Nothobranchius furzeri: one gene and its partner. The protein of the gene in region 2 interacts with the protein of the main gene of each other region in a pairwise test. Links are inferred from orthologs where the notes say so. Each region holds a gene or a part of one and is shown on either strand. Other genes may lie near its edges.

The links.
Region 1: the proteins of eif3g (region 2) and mif4gdb interact in binary tests that used the Homo sapiens proteins (3 or more experiments, as listed by UniProt). The link is inferred for Nothobranchius furzeri from reciprocal best matches to the Homo sapiens genes EIF3G and MIF4GD.

What each region holds. Positions count from the first base shown.
Region 1 is NC_091752.1:54,310,190-54,314,460, forward strand, and holds the start of mif4gdb (MIF4G domain-containing protein B), read right to left. Parts: upstream 3,067-4,271; 5' UTR 2,967-3,066; intron 2,877-2,966; exon of another isoform or gene 2,786-2,876; intron 2,778-2,785; exon of another isoform or gene 2,741-2,777; intron 2,257-2,740; 5' UTR 2,216-2,256; coding exon 2,137-2,215; intron 2,014-2,136; coding exon 1,904-2,013; intron 1,816-1,903; coding exon 1,660-1,815; intron 1-1,659. Other genes in the region: slc25a19 (mitochondrial thiamine pyrophosphate carrier), read left to right, coding at 3,568-3,699, 3,903-4,058, 4,155-4,271. UniProt on the Homo sapiens protein: Functions in replication-dependent translation of histone mRNAs which differ from other eukaryotic mRNAs in that they do not end with a poly-A tail but a stem-loop. May participate in circularizing those mRNAs specifically enhancing their translation.
Region 2 is NC_091745.1:3,309,763-3,314,066, forward strand, and holds eif3g (eukaryotic translation initiation factor 3 subunit G), read left to right. Parts: upstream 1-1,370; 5' UTR 1,371-1,451; coding exon 1,452-1,474; intron 1,475-1,563; coding exon 1,564-1,610; intron 1,611-2,529; coding exon 2,530-2,618; intron 2,619-2,707; coding exon 2,708-2,767; intron 2,768-2,842; coding exon 2,843-2,947; intron 2,948-3,234; coding exon 3,235-3,430; intron 3,431-3,514; coding exon 3,515-3,625; intron 3,626-3,734; coding exon 3,735-3,871; intron 3,872-4,021; coding exon 4,022-4,128; intron 4,129-4,203; coding exon 4,204-4,219; 3' UTR 4,220-4,300; downstream 4,301-4,304. UniProt on the Homo sapiens protein: RNA-binding component of the eukaryotic translation initiation factor 3 (eIF-3) complex, which is required for several steps in the initiation of protein synthesis.

The DNA of each region.
Region 1 (4,271 bases), on a different chromosome or scaffold from region 2:
GTTGTCTGTGAGAACACTTTTTAAAGTAGAAAAGTTTGGGAGAGCGGGTTTGGGAGAGCCCACTGCAGCTGGGATTAGCGCTAAAATCTTCATGCTCCGGCTCCACTGGGGGAAGCTGTGCCTCAGTCTTGCTACGGCTAGTTAGCTTCGGCTGCTCACCTAACTTCTTCTCTGCTGCGGCAATATGACACTCCTGCTAAGCTGTCGCTCGTGCAGTTTCAGTTTTACCTTGTAGTTGGTGGTGATTGGAAGAATTTCCTTATATCCATCGTTTGTGTCGTTAAATTCGTTTACCGTGATATTCGTTTACCGTGATATCCGTTTCCTAGCGTAAACAGACGTCGGTGCGTTACTTGCGGCACCACGCACGCATGCATCACATGACACAAGCCGAGACGTCTCTTAAAATATTTATTTTGTATTTTGAATTTTATTGGTTTCCCTTAGCTGAATATGAATTCATACAATCTGTGACTCCTCCCCAAAAAAAATTAACTGAAAAAAATAATTAAATTATAATAACATTACCGCTCTGATAGCCAATGGGGGGGCATGGAGGTACGGGTGGGGGGGGGGGGGGGCAATGCCCCTCAAATTGACCCCCTGACGCCGGGGCTGCTTCCCCATTTTGCTTCCACCATCTTCTCCTTGAATTGGCGAAATACGTCACATACACGGTGGCCAAAGTCACGTGGAACGGAAATGCACGAAAACGGCTGGCAGAGACCTAAAAATTGGTTTATTTTATTACCTTGTCACGTTTATTTTTAATATACAGACTTATTTTAAATACACATCAATACTCACCGAATTTAAGACTTCACTTAATGAATTTAAGACTTTTTAAGGGTCTTAATTTGCCTAAATTAAATTCAAGACTTTTCAAGACTTTCCAAGACCCGCGGATACCCTGAACAAGAACATCAGATTCCCTTTCATCCCTGGCAACAAGTGAAGAGGTAAATGTGTAAAACAACAAAGTTTATTAATGCTGAAAGTTTAGTAACCATTTGTTACAAATCAGTAAATACACTCTGTCCTCACGGGCTTCCGTAGAAGGAAACATGGCATCCAATATGGCGTCGCCTAGAGATTTAGACCCACTCCCGTGTATTTTAGACCTGATTTTTATGGTTAAATGCTATGAAACTGTCAATATTTTTCAACAACTTGGTATCTTTTAATTAATTTACAACATTTCAATGGGTATTTCCAGAGATTAATGGTAAAAATTACACATTGTCACTTTAATGTCTGTCATTGAGATCCACCTTGATGTCAGACAAATATTGCCATCATGTGGTTTAAGTCTGACACAGGTCAAAATCTGTACTAAATGCTCTGGTTTGATTGACCTATGTGCGCAGTAATGTGTTATAGCCAGTTATGAATCTGGAAGTGAAACTGAAACAATACAGTGTCTTATTAGGCCTTCTGCTGGCTGGGAGTTTCGTTCAAAGTTCTAACTTACAGCAAGAAATCCAGGTCTCAAATTAATACAACCTTCTTCTTGGTTACTACAGCAATAAACAATATATTAAAGGCTTTACTTACGAAGAAAAGTACTTTTGCAGAAATGATCCAGAGTAATTTAACAATTCATATATTTAAAATATCTTCATATCATGGACAAAACTTCAATTTGTCTCTGTCTCTTACCTTGAGGTAGTCAAAGATGTTACAGATGAAGGTGACGTAGCACACCCACTCCTGCAGAGAGCGTGTTCTTGTTTCTTCACGTACTTTAAACTCTTGCTGTAGTCGGTTCAACAGGAGCCTCCTAAACACATTTCCGCTGCTTTGTTTGGCCTCAGCCTGGGCAAACAGGGAGAATCAGGACTAAACAGGAGGGTGGTGAGCAGGCAGAGGACTCAGAACAAAAGCACCACAACCACTGACTGACCTGCACAATAGTGTAACAAATACGTCCGGCCTCTTTGCTGAACACACAATCCTTTAGAGACTGCTCTACGATGACATTTGAGACCTTCTCCAGGTTCACCGAACTTGGATCTGAGGGCAAGAAAATGGCTTTTGTAATATATACGTTCATTTTTAACAACATTTAAATGAAGGAACTGAAAACGAATTATACAGTTTGAATAATTTACACAAAAGTTTAAAGAAAATTCTGACCTTTCAAGGCAGTTTTCAGTAATGTCTGCGTTTCCAAGTCAAAAGACTGGATTTTGTAGTCATCGGTGGAGTTTTCCATGTCAGATGGTGAAGAACAAGTTACACCTGGGAGATGTCACGCTGTGAAGGAAAGATCATCCATGTTCACTGTGCTTTTCAGAAGAACAACATGTAGCAAGTCTTTTATCAGACACGACGAGTCTTTTAAACAGAACTGAAACCGCGGAGTCATCAGACTGGCTGCTCCCTACAGCTCTTTGACTGCGGGATTGAGGGGATTTGGGCTAGCTCAGGTCAACAAACACCACCTATCACTCAAAAGTGTGCTTTCATTATGCCATGATAAAATTAAACTTGCTAGCCACATACAAGTCACGCATTCGGACCGAAACAATGCAATGCTATGCATGGGCGCTGTTTATTACTGGGTTTATAACGAAAAACAGGCGGATGCCAAATCAAAACAACATTTAACTTATTAACACTGTGCTAGCTCGTGTGGTTCGCGAGCTGCTTCCGTTAGGGAATACCTCCCGCCAAAACAATAAAAGCGATTAAATGTAAAAAAAATAAATAAATAAAATCAAACAGGTAGAAAACACACATCAGTTAATAAGCATGGAATGCAAGAATATGTGAGAAACTTTACCTATTCAAAATCATACCACTAGTCAAGCTACTTCCGTCTGAACCATTCAAAGAATAAATGTAAACACAAAGATAAGTTAACCTGCATTTCCTGTTACCACATAAAACACAACCGGGACTAATGAAACTATCCTAACAGATTTTCACGGTATCACCAATATTTGAGTGGTTTAAAATATCACCTGTAAATTCTGTAAAAAGAATAGTGTGTACGAATGAGGGTTAGAGATAGGTAATGGTGACAGGGCGGTGGTAGACCGGTTGTAGGTTTGTTGCATAGACTGTACATACTGGACAATTCGATTCCGGTTTGTTGTAAGGCAGTGACTCATCTTTCCCAATATTTAATCTTTGACAGACGGAGCATGCGCTGAGTGAACCGGCGGAAGTGGTTAGTACGTTGCGTTCAGGGTTACGCTGAGATCTGAAGCTGATGGATTTATCGTAGAGAAATTTGTTGAAGACAGAAATAGAAATGGAAGTTATATTCATGAAGACAGCTCTTTAGTAAAAGGTAAACATCTGTCAGCGTGTTGTTGTCGCTACAACAACGAAGGAACAGATGTTGTGTTGTTAGCTTAGCTTAGCACAATTCTTCTCCCTACTTGTCCGCAGACATGGTGCAAACTTTGATTAAAGCGTTGTGTTAAATGAATACATTGAGAGATATTGTTTGCAGATAACTGTGACATTTTAAAAACCACAGGATATTTAAAAAATAAAATTAGTCAAAAATGGAACTTTTGTTTGTGTCTTCAGTGTTGATAGGAGTGTTGTGGTGAGATGGTGGGTTATGATCCCAGGGCGCAGAATGCAGCTCCTACCCATTGGGAGGCAGCTATCGCTGGTTCAGCTGCTGGGCTGGCCACCAGAGCCATTATCAGTCCTTTTGATGTCATCAAAATAAGATTCCAGGTATTAATCTGTGTGAATTTTTTGTGTTGGATGAGCTGGATCCAACTATTAACAGATTATGCTCACTTTGAAAATTAGACTTATAATAAGAATGGTTAAGGTATGTAAGTCCAACAAAACGATGCATAAGGAATCATTTAATAACAGTGTGGATGGAAATCTACAAAGTTAGTTGCATAAGTCGAGTGTGTTTCCTCCCACAGCTGCAGATCGAGCGTGTGTCGTCACGTAGACCTGAGGGAAAGTACTGTGGAATCCTTCAGGCCTCACGCAGCGTTTACACAGAAGAAGGGCTTTCTGCTTTCTGGAAAGGCCACGTTCCAGCCCAGCTCCTCTCCATCTGCTACGGTGCTGTCCAGGTACAGCTTGTGGAATGAAAATCTGCATGTTGAGACAGTCAAATAAGCCCTCCTAATGGCTCATCCCTGAAATAACTGTTTTTTTGTGATTTGCAGTTTGTTAGTTTTGAGTTTCTGACTGAAGTTGTTCACAAATCGACAATCTACGACAGCCAGACACCAGGAGTTCACTTTGTCTGTGGCGGTTTGGCAGCCTGCTCGGCCGCGGTGGCC
Region 2 (4,304 bases):
TATCACCAGAACCCCTTCCTTTCACCACATCACCCCGGTTCTCCAGCAGCTTCACTGGCTCCCAGTTAAATTCAGGTCCATCTTCAAAATTCTCCTTCATACCTTCAAAGCAATCCACAACCTCTCTCCTCCATATATCTCAGACCTTATAAGTATTCACACCCCGTCCCGTTCACTCAGATCTTCTTCTTCCATCCATCTTGCGGTTCCTTCTGCCCGTCTCGCTACCACGGGGAGCAGAGCTTTCAGCCGCTCTGCTCCTCGACTCTGGAACTCACTTCCCCCAGACATCAGGAACGTCGACAGTTTTACCCTTTTCAAAACAAAACTCAAAACACACATGTTTAAATCTGCCTAAAACCTCTGATTTTATTGAAATGTTTCTCTCTGTTGTTTCTTCTTTGGGTTTTATTATTGTTTTATTGTATTTTATTACGTGTTTTGTGTAAAGTGACCTTGGGTGTCCTGAAAGGCGCTTTGAAATAAAATGTATTATTATTATTATCATTATAAATCGTCTTTATTTGTATAGCGCCTTCTTAGGGTTCTACAACCCCCCCAAGGTGCTTCACAACACAGTCATTCACATATTATTGCTATTTTTTAAAGACAACATAAGAACCTCTAGTTTTATATGAAATTAATTCTGCACACGTTTTGTCTGCACCTGCTACTGCTGACAGTTTTTCTTTCCTGCAGCGTTGGAACAAATCCTGATGTAATGACGGTTTTCTTATGTTGATATGACCTATCAGGAAAAACAAACATCTTGTATTTATTATTATTATTGTTGTTGTTGTTGTTGTTGTTATTATTATTTCATAACTATAATTGCTATGACCCAAAATCTATGCTGGAATAGTGATTGAGCACTTTTGTAAAAGTTCCAGTACTTTTATTGCTCCACTGAAAACCAGATTGAAGTTTCATTTCATTTGTTATTTTTTTCTCATTCTGCAATTTCCTTCATCACTAATTCACAACACACTCATCAAGTACAATGTTCCAAGTGAAAAAAGAGAGACAGCAGGGAGGAGGAAGAAGTTAATGTTTTCTATAATATGTGCATTTTTTCTTTGCTTGTAATGAAATAAAAACGATCTAATATTGCCACTGGGGTGATTTGTAAACTCATCATACTTCTTTTGACTTTTGAGAAATTTGACAACAAATGTGTAAATCTGATGCTCCTAATATTTTTAAGCACAAATACGAATTAAGTTACCACAGAATTCACATTAAGAATCCACATGAGAAGTTATTTTCATAACAATAACAACGAATTTTTATTATGCAATTTTACGATTTTGTCAACAATTTTTGTCAGCACCAAAAATAAGCTCTTATTTTGAAAAAGTCTGACGAGTTGTGCCTTTATTGCGAAGTTTTAACCTCCGGAAGTGCGGTGCTCGGTTCGCGCTGGTTCTTCCGAAGCTAGGCTAGCCGAGAGGATGCCGTCGATTGAATACGACGAGTAAGAGTCTAAATGAAACGTAGGGTTTTTGTGTCTTTATTGAATGCGTGTAACCGTTGTAATAACGAGTTTGTGTGATTCTATTCTAGCTCAAAGCCCAGCTGGGCTGACCAGGTGGAGGAGGAAGTAGATGAAGGTAAACAGCATTTTAGCTTCGCTAGCTAGCTCGGTGGCAAATGTGACCTAGAGGGTTGGATGCTTAAGATCCTAAAACCGTAGGTGATAATAACCCTTGATGAAAACAGCAGAGGCTTATTCACAAGTTTAACAATTTTTATTTATAGATACAACCCAGGTCGGGATAAAAAGTAGACTAAAAACTCTAAAACACGGGAGGGAGGAGCGACGACAATGCTGGCCCTGGGACTACACACGCAACGCCATCTATTTCTATTTAAAAGCACAAAGCCGCTGTAGGGACCCGAGACAAGAGACAATAATATAAAGAAAAACACTCAGTGCTCCCCTGACCCGGTTACACAAAGGAGGCCGGTGTTGCAGTTCCACGTGGTTGAACAGCATTAAAGACGAGCTAAAATATGCAAGTTTGTTAAATTTTATAAGAATCTGCCCTTAAATCAGTCATGGGTTGGCGTGACTGAGAGACGAACGGCTTAAGAAATTGCGTTATGATAATGAGGCAGTGGTCCCCTGACAGTGACGTAGGGGTGTAAAAACAGTCAAGATAATGATGCTGACGGAAACTAGACTGATTAAATATTCATAAAACATTTAAAGTCGTCAACTGTTCCAGTTGATGTGAAAACGAAGATGTGACGTCACATCAGGAGCATCCTGATCCTGACAGTTCAGATCAGTCCCAGATAAACTCACATTTAGTTGAAAGTTATTAAAGTATCCCCGGATGTTAAGCTTATGGTTGTTTTTCGTGCATCTGCGAATGTTGTATACCTTTATCTTGATTATATTCTTACTTCCCATATTTGCTGTTTTCTTACTTTAATCGTTCTTTTTTGCACAAAGTGCCGCAGCAATTTCCTAATCTGATTTCTCGCACATATGTCACTAAAACCCTAATGATTCTGATCCCATAGGCACATTACCATCACCAAAGGAGACCATCAAAGGAAACATCAAAACAATCACTGAGTATAAGATAGATGATGATGGTAAAAAGTTCAAGGTACTTTGTTTATGTTGCATCAATAAATTTAAAAGGCAAATAATAAATGTCTCCTGAAATATTATAAGTGAAACATTTTGGTTCTCTAGATTGTGCGGACCTTCAAGATCGAGACGAGGAAAGCCTCAAAAGCTGTTGCCAGAAGAAAGGTCCGTGTTTTATTAAATCATATCAGTGCAGTTAATAAATGAACCGCCTTCTGATATTTACCACTCTCATTTCAGAACTGGAAGAAGTTCGGCAACTCTGAGTTTGACCCACCGGGTCCTAATGTTGCAACCACCACTGTCAGCGATGACGTCTTCATGACTTTCATCTCCAGCAAGGAGGTACAGGATATGTCCAAGTTGCTGTTTTCCTTCAGAACGCAAAAACGAACAAGAACATTCTTTAGGAAATGTTCTAATGGAGCATCGATAGTTCGCAGCAGGTTTAAAATGCTGCTTGCACTACTTTTTACAGCTTGCTTGGTGTTCACAATTACCACATTCAACAGCTCTAGATCTTCTCATTCTGTAATGTGACTCAGAATTTATGAAGTTCATGGCTGCAAATTTGTAATTTTTACTGTAATCAAGTTGTTTTATCAAAGTTGCTAATCTTGCTTTTTTTGCAGGACCTGAATGCCCAAGACCAAGATGAGGATCCAATGAACAAGCTCAAAGGGCAGAAGATTGTGTCTTGTCGTATTTGTAAAGGGGACCATTGGACGACCCGCTGCCCGTATAAGGACACGCTGGGCCCCATGCAGAAGGAGCTGGCTGAGCAGCTTGGGCTTTCCACTGGAGACAAGGAAAAGACTGCTGGTTCTGGTACCATTATCACCATTCTCATTACCACACTTGTCTGCTGCTGCTAGTTTCTAAAGGTGTGACAGTAATTGTGGCTTTTCCTAGCTGAGCCAGAGCCTGTTCAGCCTGCACAAAGCAAAACTGGAAAGTATGTCCCGCCGAGCCTGAGAGATGGAGGCACAAGAAGAGGGGAGTCTATGCAGCCTAACCGCAGAGGTCAGTTTGTGTTGGTATGGGTGCTACATTAGCAATATGTGGTCATTTTTAATCTGGTCATGCAGCGTTGAATAAACGTCTCAGTAAAACGAATCATTGCGTTTAACAGCTGATGACAACGCTACCATCCGTGTGACCAACCTGTCTGAGGACACTCGTGAGACAGACTTGCAGGAGCTTTTCAGACCGTTTGGTTCCATCTCAAGGATCTATCTGGCAAAGGACAAGAACACGGGACAGTCCAAGGTTAGTGCTCACCTTAGGGGTGACTGGGCTTTACAAGTGCTGGCCTTTCACAGTTTTTCTGCAACCTGCTGTTATCTACCATCTAGGATTTGAGATTGACGCTGAAAAAATCAAGAATCATCAGTCAGATTTTTTTTTATTGCTCTGCAGGGATTTGCCTTCATCAGTTTCCACCGTAGGGAGGATGCTGCCAGAGCCATAGCAGGAGTGTCAGGATTTGGATATGATCATCTTATTCTCAATGTTGAATGGGCCAAGTAAGTAAATTATCACTGTTGTCAGTAAAATGATCAGTGTTTCATATTCACTAACATAATTTACTTCTGTTACAGACCATCAAACAACTGAGGACTTCATCAGAATCTTAACAGAAAGATGCCAGAATTAATGAAATGTGGCCGTTACCTAAATAAAGATAATTTGTCGCTGCTTC